Arabidopsis thaliana: one gene and its partners. The protein of the gene in region 1 interacts with the protein of each later gene in a biochemical or structural test. Each region holds a gene or a part of one and is shown on either strand. Other genes may lie near its edges. The genes, in order: HY5, FHY3, FHY1 and BZR1.

The links.
Region 2: the proteins of HY5 (region 1) and FHY3 form a complex in vitro, tested with the Arabidopsis thaliana proteins (2 studies listed by BioGRID).
Region 3: the proteins of HY5 (region 1) and FHY1 form a complex in vitro, tested with the Arabidopsis thaliana proteins (one study listed by BioGRID).
Region 4: the proteins of HY5 (region 1) and BZR1 form a complex in vitro, tested with the Arabidopsis thaliana proteins (one study listed by BioGRID).

The regions. Positions count from the first base shown.
Region 1 is NC_003076.8:3,592,820-3,596,983, reverse strand, and holds HY5 (Basic-leucine zipper (bZIP) transcription factor family protein), read left to right. Parts: upstream 1-1,980; 5' UTR 1,981-2,183; coding exon 2,184-2,280; intron 2,281-2,510; coding exon 2,511-2,694; intron 2,695-2,804; coding exon 2,805-3,066; 3' UTR 3,067-3,189; intron 3,190-3,332; coding exon of another isoform or gene 3,333-3,401; 3' UTR 3,402-3,623; downstream 3,624-4,164. Other genes in the region: OCP3 (overexpressor of cationic peroxidase 3), read left to right, coding at 1-147, 335-712, 890-1,207, 1,299-1,427.
Region 2 is NC_003074.8:7,821,464-7,827,790, reverse strand, and holds FHY3 (far-red elongated hypocotyls 3), read left to right. Parts: upstream 1-1,594; 5' UTR 1,595-2,011; intron 2,012-2,335; 5' UTR 2,336-2,376; coding exon 2,377-4,530; intron 4,531-4,634; coding exon 4,635-4,691; intron 4,692-4,775; coding exon 4,776-4,844; intron 4,845-4,918; coding exon 4,919-4,987; intron 4,988-5,083; coding exon 5,084-5,152; intron 5,153-5,245; coding exon 5,246-5,290; intron 5,291-5,375; coding exon 5,376-5,432; 3' UTR 5,433-5,794; downstream 5,795-6,327. Other genes in the region: AT3G22180 (DHHC-type zinc finger family protein), read right to left, coding at 1-178, 326-439, 557-601.
Region 3 is NC_003071.7:15,800,903-15,804,762, reverse strand, and holds FHY1 (far-red elongated hypocotyl 1), read left to right. Parts: upstream 1-1,969; 5' UTR 1,970-2,066; coding exon 2,067-2,119; intron 2,120-2,440; coding exon 2,441-2,916; coding exon of another isoform or gene 2,917-2,942; exon of another isoform or gene 2,943-2,994; coding exon 2,995-3,074; 3' UTR 3,075-3,345; downstream 3,346-3,860. Other genes in the region: AT2G37680 (glucose-induced degradation-like protein), read left to right, coding at 302-445, 538-611, 697-751, 824-886, 983-1,110, 1,185-1,263. UniProt on the Arabidopsis thaliana protein: Key regulator of far red / red (FR/R) spectrum-specific responses essential for the adaption to changing light conditions (e.g. de-etiolation), essentially by regulating PHYA shuttling from the cytoplasm to the nucleus and by directly regulating the expression of some target genes, depending on light conditions and phosphorylation status.
Region 4 is NC_003070.9:28,183,987-28,188,621, forward strand, and holds BZR1 (Brassinosteroid signaling positive regulator (BZR1) family protein), read left to right. Parts: upstream 1-1,517; 5' UTR 1,518-1,722; coding exon 1,723-1,989; intron 1,990-2,333; coding exon 2,334-3,077; 3' UTR 3,078-3,159; exon of another isoform or gene 3,160-3,424; intron 3,425-3,460; exon of another isoform or gene 3,461-3,660; coding exon of another isoform or gene 3,661-3,981; 3' UTR 3,982-4,060; downstream 4,061-4,635. Other genes in the region: AT1G75090 (DNA glycosylase superfamily protein), read right to left, coding at 3,661-3,981, 4,061-4,202, 4,281-4,422.

The DNA of each region.
Region 1 (4,164 bases):
GTTCTGTTTCGGAATCGGAACGCTAGTCCTTGTGGTCTATCTCTTCCAATTCTCAATCCGTCTCGGTCTGTACTTGTTTTTGCTCGTGGCAAGAATCGAAAAGGATTCGTGTCTTCGTCTTCTTCGTCTCCGAAGAAAAACAAAAAGGTAAGAAAATCAGAATGAGAATGATTTATGTTCGCAATTGCTCTTACCTGCTGCTTTCGCCGAATTTGACTAGAATTTGGATACACTAACTAAGTGAGCTATTATCGGTTAGAATTGGTGAATCCTCGAATTAGACTTTGGCTCTTTTTGATTTTGTATCAGCCTTTGATTTCATGGTTTGTGGCAGAAAAGTTTGGATGGAGCTGATAATGGAGGAGGTGAGGAGGAGGAGGATCCATTTGAGGCATTGTTTAATCTTTTAGAAGAAGATTTGAAGAATGATAACTCGGATGATGAGGAGATAAGTGAGGAAGAGTTAGAGGCATTAGCCGATGAGTTAGCTCGAGCATTGGGTGTTGGTGACGATGTTGATGACATCGACTTGTTTGGTTCAGTCACTGGTGATGTTGATGTTGATGTTGATAATGATGATGATGATAATGATGATGATGATAATGATGATGATGATGATGACAGCGAAGAAGATGAAAGACCGACTAAGCTGAAGAATTGGCAGCTTAAAAGACTGGCTTATGCATTGAAAGCTGGGCGTCGTAAAACTAGTGTAAGTTTTAGTTCAGTGTTGAAGTGATGTTGAATACATTGTGTAAAGCATAGTGCTTGAGTTAGTGTCTGCTTTGGAGATTTTGCTTACGAATTGTTTAAGAGTTGACAAAGAACAAGTAGTTCTCTGGTTTTCAAATGCATAATTGATAACGGATGGTTTTGTTGTGATCTGTAGATTAAAAATCTGGCAGCTGAGGTTTGTCTTGACAGGGCTTATGTTCTTGAATTGCTTCGTGACCCGCCTCCAAAGCTGCTAATGCTAAGTGCTACACTACCAGATGAAAAACCGCCAGTAGCAGCACCTGAGAACTCCTCACCTGATCCAAGTCCTGTGGAATCATTATCAGCTGAAGATGTTGTGGTCGAACCTAAGGAAAAAGTAAAAGATGAAGCAGTTCATGTGATGCAACAGAGATGGTCTGCTCAGAAAAGAGTGAAGAAAGCTCACATTGAAACGCTAGAGAAAGTTTACAGAAGATCAAAACGACCCACTGTAAGGATTCTCCTTTTACATTTGAATCAATTTCTATGTTACTTGAATGCTCTATCTCACATATGATCATGTTTGATGATGCTGTGAATAGAATGCTGTGGTTAGCAGCATTGTTCAAGTGACCAATCTTCCAAGGAAGCGAGTTTTGAAGTGGTTCGAAGATAAAAGAGCAGAAGACGGAGTTCCAGATAAGCGAGCTCCATATCAAGCTCCGGTTTGATCTAATGTTAACGTTGAGATGGCAATGATTTGTATACTTGATTCTCAGAAACTCATCAACATTGTCGTCAAGGACAAGTTTTTTTGGTGATACGAGGAGTGTTTATAGTAGTAGATTCTGTCCAATGGTGTGGCTGGATATGTTGGACTATGAAATTTTAGGATATCTTGTATTCAGTTTTTAGTTATTTCCTTGCTGAGATTGTGTCTTGTAGAAAACCGTTTCAACTTTGTTTGGTTTATGGCGGCTATAAAGTTTAATTTTAATGCATGACAAAAACAAATCACCAAAAATAAAATAAATTACTTTCACGACACTTTTGAAAGCACTGCCCTAGGCGTGGGCCATGTGACAGAATGAAAGAACTCAGACCAAACTTTTCTGTCCAAGGACAGGAATGGGGCCCACCCAATTAGCTCCCCTATCCATTATTCACCGTAAGATGCTAACCAGATCTAACGGCTAAAATCCACCCACGTTCCAATCTCAATTGCCTTTGGATCCTTGTATTTCCTCAAGGCTCACCTTTCTCCACGATTCACTCTCGATATCCGTTCGATTCTTCAGAGATCTGACGGCGGTAGCCAGAGTAATCTATTCCTTCCCAAAATGTCTCGCAATTAGATTCTTTCCAAGTTCTTCTGTAAATCCCAAGTCCCGCTCTTTTCCTCTTTATCCTTTTCACCAGCTTCGCTACTAAGACAACAAATCTTTCCCTCTCTCTCTCGCCTGATCGATCTTCAAAGAGTAAGAAAAATGCAGGAACAAGCGACTAGCTCTTTAGCTGCAAGCTCTTTACCATCAAGCAGCGAGAGGTCATCAAGCTCTGCTCCACATTTGGAGATCAAAGAAGGTAAACAAAAATTGTCGATTGTTTTATTTTCATATCTTCTCCCAACGAGTGATCTCATTGATTTTCATTCTCATGCATTGGATATCTAGTAAATTCACATCTAGATTTTGTATCACCATTGATTCACATCTAGATTCACAACTTTTAGTCTCCCCCAGAAGATCTGCAATTTTTTATTGTATTTAAAAAGTTTGAAACTTTTCGTCTAAAGTCTCTTTTATGTTTTAAAGGAATTGAAAGCGATGAGGAGATACGGCGAGTGCCGGAGTTTGGAGGAGAAGCTGTCGGAAAAGAAACTTCCGGTAGAGAATCTGGATCGGCGACCGGTCAGGAGCGGACACAGGCGACTGTCGGAGAAAGTCAAAGGAAGCGAGGGAGGACACCGGCGGAGAAAGAGAACAAGCGGCTGAAGAGGTGTCTTTTTCTCTATTCATTGAATTTACATTTTTACCCTTTATATGGAAGGTGATTATGTTAAATAACGGTTGCGTGATGGGGTTGTTTGGTAATTTTGTGGTGAAAAGGTTGTTGAGGAACAGAGTTTCAGCTCAGCAAGCAAGAGAGAGGAAAAAGGCTTACTTGAGCGAGTTGGAAAACAGAGTGAAAGACTTGGAGAACAAAAACTCTGAACTTGAAGAGCGACTCTCTACTCTTCAGAACGAGAACCAGATGCTTAGACATGTACGTTTTGTCGATCTTACTGTTGACTTAACCTGCAACGTCAATGCTTTTGCCATTTGTTTTTTGATATATCACAGTACTGGTTTATCACATTTACGAGTCTAGGATTGACCAATAATTAGTTTAGTTAGTTAAAAGGATCTAAGAAGCTAACTTAAGCTTTAGATTAATTCTCAGAAGGCATGTAGGTTCTTGAAATGGTCATTCACTCGCATATTCTCTCAAAAGGCATGTAAATTCTTCAATGGTTCTTGAAATGCTCACTCATTTTGTTCTATATGAATGGAGAAGATGAGATTGCAAAGTTGGATCTCTATGTGTGTGTGTGGTAATAAAGTCTTTTGAGTTGTTATGTTTTTTATGTGGTGTAGATTCTGAAGAACACAACAGGAAACAAGAGAGGAGGTGGTGGTGGTTCTAATGCTGATGCAAGCCTTTGATCTCCTTCTTCTTCTTGTGTTATATTTTTGTGGATAAAATTTACAGAGAATTGTATCAATAATTATCATGTTAAAATTATATGGGATGTGAGAGCTAATATTGCAATTGTAGACCAAGTTCTCTTATTGTAGTCTTAGATTTCTCTTAATTGAAACATAATGTTGTTTTATAACAAAAATAAGCTAATTTTTGTTCTATGATATGACATTGTGACACTGTAGTAGAAAGGTTGCGTTTTCGATTCCCGCAGTTCAAAGTCCCAAACAAATTCTGGGATAGTGGAATCTTTACTCTTTTTTTTTTCCTTTTTGCCCCTATCCCTCCCGATTTCTTACAGACAAGTCGCCATGGATTTGTAAACGAAGATGCCGTTGATCATATTATGCGGAAATCGGACAAAGAGGGTAGGGTCGATCTTTTACAGCCAAAGCTTGTCAAGCTCGAGAGATGAGCAATCATGTAAGTGTTTTCTTACACTTTTGCTTTCCTTTTTCTAAAATCCATGGAATCCAGACATTGTTTTCTGTCACTGCTACCTTGAACTTGCTGCTCCCTTCTTAGAATCGGGTTGCCACAACCGAATTTCATGGACAAAATCGTACATTTCTTTACCTGTTGTATGCTTTCTGATTCTTTGTTTTCTATTTTAGATTTTTCGTGGATCTCATCTTCATCTATTGCTAGTTGCTAGTGTACTATGGATTGTTTGACATTATTTCTCATGCTTTTGAGGATACTCAGATTCTATCAATGTTAACAAAG
Region 2 (6,327 bases), on another chromosome or scaffold:
AACTCCTACTGACAACCGAAGGAGAAGCCTGCAACTGACTACCAGTTTCATCATAATTCCTTGATAAGCCACGAACCATGCCATCTCCATTCACGCCTGTATCAAATATCGACATGATTCTCGGATCCGCAGGATTGATTGCAGTACACCGAACATACAAAACAAACACAAGAATAGCCTGCAAAAACACACACGATACATAAAGGAACCTATCAGATAAGATCAATGCCATAAACTACACAGCTGTGGAATCCAAAACTCGTTATGAATTTGCAAAATTGATTCTGATCATAAACACTACTAGCTTGAGAAGCATTAAACATACCACGGGAGAGTAAACACCGATCAAAACGTATTCCCAAATACGACCTCCAACAAAAGGAGCGAAGAAAGCATAGAAAGCGACCACCAACAAGCAAAACACCGTAATTGCAATCACCTGAGAAGAAAAATACACAGAACCCAATTGAAATCACAGCCATTGGTGACTTTAGATTGAGCAGATTCATGAAAAATTGAAGCTTTGGCTATAGAGAAAGGTTACATTCGATTTTACCTGAAGAGTGTGAGCGGGAAGTTGCCAACCGTGTTTCCTCACCATACCTTCTTCTCCAACAACAATAAGCAAAGATAAACAAACTCTAATTTTCCGACAACGTCACCGTCACGTTGCCGTTCGCCACCGCCGGAGCGATTAAGTGAAGAGTGTTGTTGCTCGTTGAAAAGGGAAAGGGACTGAGAAAATATCGTCTCTCTCTGTTACTGTGGCAGGTTTAGTCTTAATTAAGTCCAAATGGTTGACCCAACTTTTACATTAGTGGATAATTAATTATAAATAATTTTGGTATTATAAATAATTTTGGCATAATTATAATTAAATTTCAGGATATTGGCTGGCTTTTTGTCAAAAAATATATGCTGTATTAAATTAAATCATGTCGGAAATAGTAAATTACCAACTGGCTATTGGCTATTGATTATGATATTTTATGAAATTTATTTTGAATTCATAAAATATTTCCAAAAATGGTATTTATTTTATTGTAGCTAATATGTAAAAAAAAGTTAGGAAATAATTTTTTTTTTACCAAACTTTTTAACATTAGTGGGACTAATTATAACTATGGTTTTTAAGACTGAGCTAATCTATATGTACAAAATTAAAAAGAACAGTGACTCATGCTAATGAGTGGCTATTGATTTATTTATTTTTTTGGACGGCTATTGATCTTTTTATTTTGGATCAAATATAATAAATTAATCCAATTCTGAAATAGTCATACCAATTGGCTCTTGGCTATTGAAAGTTGGTAAAAGCATTTACTAATATATATATATATATATAGTCCAAATTCAAAACTGATAGTTTGTAAATAACAAAAAAATATTTTGAATAGTTTACTATGATTTTTTTTTGTAATTCACCGTAATGTTTCAGTTTTCACCATAGTAAATACTTAGAAATACAAAATAAAATAATTCAAACAAGTCTTAGTCTTAGAGTGGACCAAACAAATTTTAAAAGCCTAAACAAGTCTACTCTTATAGATGTAAGTAAATCTCATCATTCCCATTATTCACGCTTCCCTCCAATTTTTGTTTTGGCATGCGCGTTGCACAAAATTTCAAACAAAAACAGTTTTTTTTTTTCTTTCTAATTTTATTTTATTAATAACATAAATAAATGGATAGAGATATTATTATTATCAAAAAACATGGTGATGCGTTTAGACAGAGAGAAGAAGAAGAAGAAACCCTAGACACCAAAAGAACGAATCGTGGATCTTCCGCCCACTCGCTTCCTCAGATCGCGTGAACACCACTCACCAATTTTTCTTCTCTTTCTCTCTTCTTCTTCTCTATCTCCTTTTCGCAGATCGATACCCCAACTCGCACCCGATTGGCGCGTGTTGTCTTCTTCTTCTTCCTCCTCTCGACGACGAAGAGATTAAAAAGAGACGGCCTTTTCTCAGTTTCTGCTCCGATTCGTATATCTTCTGTTTCGTACGAGGTAAAGTTTTCATTTTTATTTTTTGTTTTTGTTTTATAGTGATAACCAACACAAATGATTGGGTTATACAGTAGTTTTGATCAGCTTCGTTTTAGGAATTGGATTTGAGGATTTCGTTTATGTGATGAAATACCCACTAAGAATTTAGCTGCAAGTTGCTTTTTTCTGCAATTGTAAGGGCAAAATGTGTATACTTTCTCGATTTATCATCATAGAAAGATTGAATTTTGATGGGTTTCTCTGGTTTGTTACATCTTTTGTGTGTGACTTTAGTATACATTTTGACCTAGATATATGTACTGAGACCTAGATTTTGTCTTGCAGTGTTGTAAGACGTTTGTTTTGCCTGAGACTATAGGTTTGTCATGGATATAGATCTTCGACTACATTCAGGTGACCTTTGCAAAGGAGATGATGAGGATAGAGGACTTGATAATGTGTTACACAATGAAGAAGATATGGATATTGGCAAAATTGAGGATGTTTCTGTTGAGGTTAATACTGATGACAGTGTAGGCATGGGTGTTCCAACTGGGGAGTTGGTTGAGTACACTGAGGGTATGAATCTTGAACCTCTTAATGGTATGGAGTTTGAGTCACACGGTGAAGCGTATTCGTTTTACCAGGAGTATTCTCGAGCTATGGGGTTTAACACTGCGATACAGAACAGTCGTAGATCGAAAACTACAAGAGAGTTTATTGATGCGAAGTTTGCTTGCTCTAGGTATGGTACTAAAAGAGAATATGACAAATCTTTTAATCGGCCACGAGCTAGACAAAGTAAGCAAGATCCAGAGAATATGGCTGGTAGGAGAACATGTGCGAAAACCGATTGCAAAGCTAGTATGCATGTTAAGAGAAGGCCGGATGGGAAATGGGTAATTCACAGCTTTGTGAGGGAGCATAATCATGAGCTTTTACCTGCACAAGCTGTGAGTGAACAGACCAGAAAGATATATGCTGCAATGGCTAAGCAGTTTGCTGAGTACAAAACTGTTATAAGTCTAAAAAGCGATTCGAAAAGTTCTTTTGAAAAAGGTCGGACTTTATCAGTGGAAACAGGGGATTTCAAAATCCTGCTTGACTTCTTGTCACGGATGCAATCCTTGAATTCCAACTTCTTTTATGCAGTAGATCTGGGCGATGATCAGCGAGTGAAGAATGTATTTTGGGTAGATGCAAAGAGCAGGCATAACTATGGCAGTTTTTGTGATGTTGTTTCTCTAGACACCACCTACGTAAGAAACAAGTACAAGATGCCACTTGCTATTTTTGTTGGAGTGAACCAGCACTACCAGTATATGGTCCTTGGGTGCGCCTTAATATCCGATGAGAGTGCAGCAACATATTCTTGGTTAATGGAGACCTGGCTGAGAGCAATCGGTGGACAAGCTCCAAAGGTTTTGATCACTGAGCTAGACGTTGTAATGAACTCCATTGTTCCCGAAATCTTCCCCAATACACGGCATTGCCTTTTTCTTTGGCATGTATTGATGAAGGTTTCTGAGAATCTTGGTCAAGTTGTTAAGCAACATGATAATTTTATGCCTAAGTTTGAGAAGTGCATCTATAAATCAGGGAAAGATGAAGACTTTGCGAGAAAATGGTATAAGAATCTTGCTAGATTCGGCCTCAAAGATGATCAATGGATGATTTCTTTATATGAAGACCGCAAGAAATGGGCACCAACCTACATGACTGATGTTCTTTTGGCTGGGATGTCTACATCTCAACGAGCTGATAGTATTAATGCTTTCTTCGACAAGTATATGCATAAGAAGACTAGTGTACAAGAATTTGTAAAGGTATATGATACAGTTTTGCAAGATAGATGTGAAGAAGAAGCCAAAGCTGATTCTGAAATGTGGAACAAGCAGCCAGCAATGAAGTCTCCATCGCCATTTGAGAAGAGTGTTTCTGAAGTCTATACTCCTGCAGTTTTCAAAAAGTTCCAGATTGAAGTTTTGGGTGCGATTGCGTGTAGTCCTAGGGAGGAGAACCGAGATGCCACATGTTCTACTTTTAGAGTGCAGGATTTTGAAAACAACCAAGACTTCATGGTAACATGGAACCAAACAAAGGCTGAAGTCTCTTGCATCTGTCGGTTATTTGAGTATAAAGGGTATCTCTGCAGACACACTCTTAATGTTCTTCAGTGTTGTCATCTTTCTTCCATCCCCTCGCAGTACATATTGAAGCGGTGGACAAAAGATGCAAAAAGCCGGCATTTTTCAGGAGAACCTCAGCAGTTGCAGACTAGGCTGCTGCGGTATAACGATTTGTGCGAACGAGCATTAAAGCTGAATGAAGAGGCATCCCTCTCTCAAGAGAGTTACAATATTGCATTCCTTGCTATTGAAGGAGCTATAGGAAACTGTGCTGGTATTAATACTTCCGGCAGAAGTCTTCCAGATGTTGTAACGTCACCAACTCAAGGTCTGATTTCTGTGGAGGAGGACAACCATAGCAGAAGTGCAGGCAAAACCAGCAAGAAAAAGAATCCAACTAAGAAAAGAAAAGTAACTTACTTGTTTACGATCTCTCTGTGCAGACAGCTTATGGATTTTGTTCGCTTTGCGCTTTTATGCTTTGCAAATTTGATGATACCAAATACTAATTTCAGGTGAACCCAGAGCAGGATGTTATGCCAGTTGCAGCGCCAGAAAGCTTGCAACAGATGGTCTGTCTTTGTTGACATGTCGTGGCAAGCCTCTTTTAAACACAAGTCGCCTAAGTATGTCATATCTGAATTTTGTAATTGCAGGATAAGCTGAGCCCAAGGACGGTTGGCATTGAAAGCTATTATGGAACACAGCAGAGCGTACAAGGAATGGTAATTAAGCACAACATACGTTCATATTATTATCTAGATACGTATGTAATCTGTTTTGATATGTGTTTTTACAGGTCCAGCTGAACTTAATGGGGCCAACTCGCGATAATTTCTATGGGAATCAACAAACAATGCAAGGATTGGTATGAAATCGACCATGACATGTGTATAAGTAGCTTCTGCTGTTTTCTATTTCATTAACTTTGGATAAAAAAACAATTCCGGCTGGTTTTCTGTAGCGACAGTTGAACTCGATAGCACCAAGCTACGACAGTTACTACGGTCCTCAGCAAGGCATCCATGGACAGGTACCTACATACCTATTCTCAATGCTTTCATAAGTTTTGTCAATCTTGTAACAAGACTGCCAAAAAAGTAAAATCTTACTTTGTTCTTTCTAGGGAGTAGATTTCTTCAGGCCTGCCAATTTTTCTTACGACATCCGGGTAACTATTGCAGTTGTAATAAAAGATCTTTCTTTTTCCTGTTTGTATCAATTGGTCATCTTAGTTCATGGTGATTTCTGTGCAGGATGATCCTAATGTGAGGACTACGCAGTTGCATGAGGACGCGTCTAGACACTCGTAAACAAAACTATAAGTTAACCACGAATCAAATCTTAAGAGTCGTCAGTCTGTGGATGAAAGATTCAAATCTCGGAGAACAAAAGCCAACGAGCACTAGGACGCGGTTAGGTTTGGAACAGAACATGAGCCAAAGCTCTGTTTTATCTTCTCAAGTGTTAAAAATAGGATGTTGTATTGTTTCGCCTTTATTCTCAGAGATTCGATTCTGTTAATATTGTTTGTATTAGTTCTGATGATCATATGTTTGATCATTTGACTGTTCGATTTAAGAGGTGAAGAAACAGTGTTACAAGAATATTCTCTATTTGTAAACTCTTGTTAATTCTCTTGATTAGGTTTCTCAAATTTGTATCTTGTGATTAATCTTGCCCAAATTACAAACAAAATTGTGGTATGCTATTGGCGGTTTGAATCTTGTTGAAGAGAGGAGAGAGGGTTACATAGTATAAATATAAAATTCTTTAAAATCAGAGAAGGATCATAAATTTATTATTATTATTTTTGAGTAATCATAAACAATTTTTCTCTTCTTTTGGCAAATAGAGCTTTTAGGCAAATTATTAAAATGTGGCCTAACATTCTATTTTGTATAGAAGAAATTATTTAAATACTGTTATTAAAAAAAACATTAATGAATAAATACGATTTAGTAATTTAATGTAAAAAAACAAACAAAAATTTCTATAAATGTTAAAGAGATGAATTTTGTTTTCAAAATAAAGTCCTAAAACACATTAAAAATGTGATATATGTAGAAAAAAAATGTGGCGTTTTATTTGATTATTTTTTAGTGGCCTAAGGAAAATGCTTTTTTTCTTACATATCAAGCAAGACTCTCTTGCAATTGAGACTCATTTTTCGTTTATTGTTCCAAAAAAATTCTGGTCACATGTAAA
Region 3 (3,860 bases), on another chromosome or scaffold:
ATTCATAGGCAGGCAACAAACATCATGGGTCTAGTTACTTTCTTCCCATTAGATCTGCAACTTGTTCAAGTGTTCTGGTTGCATAACGATTCTCTAGTAATGCTGATTTTTGTTATACCAATTAGAAGTTGGCCTTGTCTGCTTTGATTGGCTTCATATCTTTTTCATGTTGACATGTATGCTTAATTCAAGTGCATTTGTATCTAGTTGGGATTGTATAACATTCATTGGCTCAAAGAGATTGTTTATTCATAATGAACCTAAAGATGAGGAACACACATGTTTTTATGCTGTGCTGCAGGCATTTTCTGGTACGCAAAATGTCTCTAATCAACAGAAGGAGGAAGCTTGGAGAGTCAACGTCCAGATACAGGGTATTGACCTTGAACATGGTTATCTTTGTGGCACCATGGAAGCTCTAAACGTTCCCATGGCAGACACTCCTGTAAGCCCTTACACTCTTACTCATTTTTTCTTCATATTGCTTCCCCTTGAATTTCTAATAGGGGACACGATTCTTGATTCTGTGAGTGTCAGGTCATAACATTCTGGGAAGGGGAAATCGTTGATGGAAAGAATTATACCTTTTACACCGGAAAATGGGAAGCAACGTATGTCCCAATTCCTATATTCTTGTAGATTTGAAACTGATGATTTCTTATCGTGAATAAATTTTTGAAAGTTTGTTTGTCACAGGAGGGAAGATGATATGAGACATTGGTCAAAGTTCCCGTCTTTTTCGCCTCTTCAGGTAACACTCGAGTAACATTGTTTGTATAGTCAGTAACATCTCCTAAGCAACGTTCTGGACTTAATACTGCAGGGACAAGTTGAATCTGATGGTGGCAGGCAATTGGATCTTAACAATTATCCTTATATATTTATGGTATAACTCTCAGTTTTTCCTATCGAATCCAATCATCATTTTCTCTCAAGTATTCCATAATTCCTGCAACTCGGGTTTATTTTTGTGGTGGTGCAGAGATGGAAAGAGCAATACTTTGTAAACGTTGGCACAGATTGTGGACTAACAATAGCTGGATTTTACTACGTATGCTTCTCCTGCAGCGATGGTTCCATCAGCGGTTTCTATTATGATCCAAACAGCAGGTTAGTCCAAGATACAAACTATATAATCTGTTGTTGTTTGAGATAAAACCTGATGATATTTTGTTTCTGGACAGTCCGTTTCAGAAGCTGGAGCTGAAAACAGTTAACGAAGGAAGATCTGGTTTCAGCTTTTCTTCTTACGAGTTGCAATGATGAATGCTACCAAAATCATCAGACAGCGCCATATGATACTCTCGTCTAAACATGCGATGCACGTGATCCAGTACATTATGACGTGTCAATTATTATAAATTATTAGTAAGATATTTTTTTGCTTAGCTAGTAGACCAGACCAAGTAAAGAACTAAAAATACTATTTTGTCATTATGGTACCAAGCTAATAGTTTATCTGGAAAAAGAACAAATTGTCCAAAAAAATAATTACCAAATAGTTGAGAAGTTTTTCTAAAAATTTTTGTAAAAAAAATCCAAATTCTTCTAAAATTAAGTTTTTAATAGAAATTTAAAAAGACAGTTCTACATCATATTATTTTCTTTAAATAATGATATAAAATTTATAAACTATTATCTTTGTAAGATAATGAATATTTATACCTATGTAAGGGAAAAATTGATAAATATTTATACATCCTCATCCAAAAGCCCATAAAATCGTTATGGGACAATAGTAAAAAAGATTGCAAAATCGTATGGAGCGAAAGATAAAAATAAAAAACGGTCCCGTGTAAGAAGATGGGTCACCTCGCCAACACGTAGACTCTTTTCACGCGCCAAATCAAACACCATGTCGACGAGATCAACGGATTCAAATGTTTCGTGTAATACACGCTCCAACGTAGCGCGTCGTACACTTGATGCTTAATTTATGTATTTTAAGTTACGCAGTTTCCAGATTTTCAGACCCTCTGAAAGTGGAAAGAGCATTTTTTAAAAGAGTAATAAGAAAAACAATTATCTTTGAACTCTCTCTATCTCTCTCTCTCTCTCTGCGATCTATGCCTGAAGTGGAAGTGGATAACAACAACGAGAAGCCATCTGAGATTAACAGGTTTCAGTTTCTCAATCTATTCCTATATATTATCATTAGAGATCAAATTTCTTATTATGCTTCTTCTCAGTTTCTTTAAGATACAGAGGATTGACTGATTATGTATGTATTCATGTCAATGGTTGACCAAAAATCATAGCTGCAGAGGATGATTGAAGTTTTATCTTGATTTTAGCTTATTTAATCGTTGAGATTAAGAAAGTTTTCCTGTTATTCTTTCCTAAACCCTTATTAAGTTCAAGATTAATAAAGTCAATTTCATATATTTGGTGATTAAGATCCATCCACTATCTTAATATGTGTTGTTCTTTTTTTTTGCAGTTTCCATCACATGATCATAAGTAGTAGTAAAAATGTGTTGAAAATGGAAGAAGTTGAGGTGAGCAAGAAGAGGAAATTTCAGACAGATCAATCTGATGAGTTATCGTTATTACCTCTGTCAAAACACACTTGTTTTGCCAATGTTGCTTGTTCAGAGAATACAAATGGTAACTCGGAGATTGATACAGAGTATTCAATGTCTTCTTATGTGAACTCAACAACTTCTATGGAGTGTAACAATGATATAGAGATGAAAGAGGAATCATCTGGATCATGCGGTGAAGACAAGATGATCTCTTTCGAAAGCCATCTAGATTACATCTATGGGACTCAGAACTTAGAGGATTTTTCAGAGAAAGTCATTGAAAACATTCTCTATCTCGATGAACAAGAAGAAGAAGAGGAAGATGCTAAAGGATGTAGTAGTAATGCTGCTAAGTTTGTTCTGTCCTCTGGAAGATGGACTGTTAACCAAGGTAAAGAAAACCGGATTTTGGTTTGACCGTATTGATTCAATGAACCGGGGATTCACTAACTTGGTTTCATGTGTACAGATGATTCTACTCTACATGAGACAAAGAAGCCTACCATTGATCAAGAATTTGAACAATACTTCTCAACGCTAATGCTGTAACAAAATGATGTTGAGACTCAAAACATATATGAAGAGATGTATGTACATAGAACTGTACTCGTTCTGTTTTGATTCTTGTCAACCTTAAAAAAACGTTCAATTCAAAGTGATTAGAGAGCTTCTTTGAAATGTTTGCAACTCTAGTCTTCAACTTTTAAGATTTTTATTAGCTTGCAAAACTAATCTTGCTTATATATCTTGTTCTGCCTGGATCAGAAATAAAAGTTAGTATAAAAAAATTCTGAGATGATTATGACACTCTGATCCTTCATATGAACCAATCTTGTGTTCAAGAGTATCCCTGATGTATTTCAGTACCAACTTAACTGAGAAATGAGAGTCAATGTTCTTTAATAAGTTTGTTCAGATGATATCTTCTTCTTTTTTTGGTTGGTCACCTATATTCAATCTGCTCTCTCCAAATTATCTCCAATACACTCTCTTCTGAACATAATACAAAAATTCATAACTTTTTCTTATTATGGTCAAAAGTCTTGTTAATATTCAACTTGTTCCTTTCTAATGTAAAATCTAAACTGATTTAATAAAGAAAAAGATGATAGCTTATTGATATTCTTCCTAGTAAAACATTTTGGCATGATGGTCAAGACTCAAGATTTGCTAGAATGTGGTTCCCTCGCATTATCAGTCTTCTTGGTCAATGTCTAGTAGTTTTAAATTCGCTATAAAAATAGCAAAAAAAAACAAAAACAAAAAATTGTTGATTAAAAAGAAATTAACACCAAACTTTAAAAATAGTTATCCTTAGTAATTTTATGTAAGTAT
Region 4 (4,635 bases), on another chromosome or scaffold:
ACACGCGATCGACGTGAATATGAATGGTTGACTGGGTTTTTTCAAAATAAAAAAAAAGTCAGGAGTTATGGGGCCCATGCATGCGTAAGTTACGATTATACCCCTATTGTTTATTTGTTTTCGTTCCTCTCCAATGTAATTTGAATTTGAAATCACGCCTCTATTAAATATGTCATCGTATAATGTCCATATTGAACATTTAACTAAACTAAAACAATGTTCATGGAGTGATTCTTAAGCCAACATTTTTTCTTGTTCAAGACATAGCATTTTGTAAGTTTGATGGTTTAAAGTAATGTACTTATTGTCCAAAACGAGTTAGCTAGGTAACATGGAGTTAATCGGAAAAACAGAACATATTTCCAAAAAAAACATACTTAACACATAATCTACTTATTATCACAAGTAGGTTACTAGTGCCAAACCAAAGAAGAAAACCCCTAAATTCCTTTTAATGCTAGAAACGAAAGCTGGTATTAAGATTTAACTGATGATTTAAAACGTATCACCAATAATTAACACATAATCGCTCGATTAGCAACAAAGTCGTTGTAGTATAGTGGTAAGTATTCCCGCCTGTCACGCGGGTGACCCGGGTTCGATCCCCGGCAACGGCGATTACTTTAGTTTTGCCTAATTCATCGAACCCTCTGATTCATTCCAAATGTTTCCCAACTCGCGTTGATGGTTCGGGTTCCTCTGCTTTTAAGACATTAGTTACATGCTCCTGCACTTTCTACAAAATAAACGTCATAATCCAAAAATATTACATGATCATACATCATATATGCCGCCGAACCTTGTTATGGGACAAACTCGTAAACCCCTTTTTCCTTTTATGTTCAATGAACTATACAAGTTTTGGTTATGAATACATAAATAATGATGGACCCAGCAATTAATCCAAAATTTGGATATTAGATACTAAAGCTTAAAATCAACATGTAACCAAACTAAATACTTTATAGAACATAGTAAATGGTATTCACCAATCTTTATATCATTTGTAAGGTACGAAGAAGGTAAAAAAAAGAGAGAGCCAGTGTACATACAACTAATCAGGACAAAAGTAGTCAAAATTGTTTCTAAAGTGAGATTTGTATGCAAGAAAAAAGTGATAATTTTTAATTGAATATATCATTATGATGTTAATCACACGGCTTCACTGTATAAAATAAAATTTTAAAAACCAATCAAATGGTGTGTTTTTCGGTCACACAAGTAAGGGACCCACACTGAAGAAACGGTCCCACTGTGTCTCCTCCTTTCTTTTCTCTGTATTATTTGGTCATTACTCATTTTACATACTCACAGAAAAAAAAAAAGATTAGAACATAAACACACGTTACTAAGCGTAGTTATCCTCTGCACCTTAACATACACCTCTTATATTCACCTCACGTAATCTCACCCTTCCAAAACCATGTATTTACACGTGGACGATCGATACACAAGAACAATGATTCTTAATATGAACTCAATGTACTTGAACACACACACGACCCAATTTTTACATTAGATGAAAAAAATATTATTATTTGTTGGAGAAGAAAGAGAGATTCTTCTTCTTCGATTCCAGCGAAGGAAAAGCGTATTCCTCGTGAGCACTAACTTCTCACTCCTCTCTTCTTCTTCTTCATCAGTCTACGTTCACACAATCTTTCACCCACCTATTCAAAGCTCTCTCCGGAAGTTTCGAGGGGTTGGTTGTTGGTTTTCCCGATGACTTCGGATGGAGCTACGTCGACATCAGCAGCTGCAGCTGCGGCGGCGGCAGCAGCGGCGAGGAGGAAGCCGTCGTGGAGAGAAAGGGAGAATAATCGGAGGAGAGAAAGACGGAGAAGAGCTGTAGCTGCGAAGATATACACTGGGCTTAGAGCTCAAGGTGATTATAATTTGCCTAAACATTGTGATAATAATGAAGTCCTTAAAGCTCTTTGTGTTGAAGCTGGTTGGGTTGTTGAAGAAGATGGTACTACTTATCGCAAGGTGAAGACTTTCTCCATTTTTTCCAGATCTGAGCTTGTTTTATTGATGTTTTTGATGTTTGAATCTGAATTCGTTGATTTCAATTGTGGTTAAATGGGTTTGAATCTGAGAATTTGAGGGTTTTCTCAAAGTGAATTTGAATCATCAGAAACTATGGATGGATCTGATTTCTCAAAGTGAATTTATGGGTTTTCTTTCTAATTTTAGAGTTATTATTGGTATGCTAAAGTCTTAATCTTTTATGTATGATACTTGGTCCAAAGTCATTGCATTGTGTTTCTTTTGCTTACCTGTGATTGATTGATGTTTGATTGGTTATTGTTTTGCTTTTGTTGGAGTATCAGGGATGCAAGCCTTTACCTGGTGAGATAGCTGGGACTTCATCTCGAGTAACTCCATATTCATCACAGAACCAGAGCCCTCTTTCATCAGCCTTTCAAAGTCCCATCCCATCTTACCAAGTTAGCCCGTCTTCTTCATCATTCCCGAGTCCTTCTCGCGGTGAACCAAATAACAACATGTCCTCTACATTCTTCCCTTTCCTCAGAAATGGTGGCATTCCTTCTTCTCTTCCTTCCCTCAGAATCTCAAACAGTTGTCCAGTTACCCCACCGGTCTCATCGCCGACTTCTAAGAACCCGAAACCGTTGCCTAACTGGGAATCTATCGCTAAGCAATCCATGGCCATTGCTAAACAATCAATGGCGTCTTTTAATTATCCTTTCTATGCGGTTTCTGCACCTGCTAGTCCGACACATCGCCACCAGTTTCATACCCCGGCTACTATACCTGAATGTGATGAGTCTGACTCTTCCACTGTTGATTCTGGTCATTGGATAAGCTTTCAGAAGTTTGCACAACAACAGCCATTCTCTGCCTCTATGGTGCCAACCTCTCCTACCTTCAATCTTGTGAAACCTGCGCCTCAGCAGATGTCTCCAAATACTGCTGCCTTCCAAGAGATTGGTCAAAGCTCTGAGTTTAAATTTGAGAATAGCCAAGTTAAACCCTGGGAAGGAGAGAGGATACATGATGTGGGTATGGAGGATCTTGAGCTTACACTTGGAAATGGGAAGGCTCGTGGTTGACATAAACAACTAGGCAAACCCAAATGGCATGTCATTGGAATATGAGAAACTAATCCTCTTGAGTATTTTCTTCTTCGTCCAGGTATTTGGATCTTTATGGAATCTCATATGTTCTTCACTTATTATCCAAATATGCTGCCCAAAGCCTTCTCCATGGAAGCATTGGAGTGTTAGAGTGGTTATTCAATTCATGAATTTGGTTTCAAAAGCATTATTTGTAGATAAAAAAATCTTAAGATGTATGATTCTGTTTCCTTACATATGTTACATTAATTAGTGGCTTGAAACTGTCTTGTGTCTTGTCAAATTGCTTAGTCATATATCATTTCTTGAGCCGATTCTGTCTCTTAGCATCAAGATCCAAAATTTGCAAAAACATTTGCTTTTACAAAATGTTAAATTCTTTATTTCCCTGCAATCAATCTTTTGGTCAAACACTAACACATCATCAAATATCTAGTTAGACAAAGCTAGCTAGGATAGTAGCATAATCAATGAACACAGCTAGCTACAAATGGTACATTCCATAACGAATACAAACACTGGTCACTCATCTTCTTAATAGTCCAATCCCTGTTTCTGATCAAACAAGTAATGGAGAATGCAGATCCAGTTTGGTTTCAGTCTCATGGCTTTTTGTTTCTCTCTCAGTCTCAACATTACATTCTTGGTATCTGAAACAAGCTGTGAGATGATCATTAACAATGCCAGAGGCCTGCAAGAAGGAATACATAACAGTAGGACCAACGCAGCGAAACCCTCTCTGCATCATATCTTTGCTAATGTACTCTGCCTTTGGGGACTTAACCGGTACTTGACGACCATATCGATAGCCATTTCTTAATGGCTTGTGGTTCACAAATCTCCAACAATAATTACTGAACGATCCAAATTCCTGCTTGACCTGTTTTCAGATTACAACCAAAGCTATTTCAGTAAACACATAGTATCTACAATTTCATAGCAAAACACACAGTGCCTACCTTGAGAACAGATTTCGCGTTCTCTACAATTGCTCGCAGTTTCTGTTCGGATAGAATTAGACACCCATTAACTCTAAGAGACATCAACCTCTTCTCTGTGAATTGTGCTATAGCTGAAGGATCAAACTCTTCAAAGAGCTTCCTACAAAAAAGAAACCAAAACTTCTGATATCACACCAAACCAAAACACAAAATAGCAAATTCACCGTCCTAAGTTTACCTAAAGTCGTCTCTTCTGCGTAGGATTGAAGGCCAGCTAAACTCAGCCAAAGCTTGTGAGAAGACAAGTAGCTCGAAGAGTTTCTTGTCATCACGAACTGGAACACCCCATTCCTCGTCGTGGAACAAAACATAGATCGGGTCTGTTTGATCAATCACCATTATTATTATTAACTGAAAAACTTACATATCCAATGTCATCAATCATCTTCTACATTTTTTTTTGTCCTTATTTATCAACTACAATACCTAGTTTTTGCTAGGTGCAATTAATGTGTTGTTGACATCTATGAAAACTGATTGTAACCTTTATTAACTTTAACGTATTATCAAAACAAAATTACATTTCGAAAACC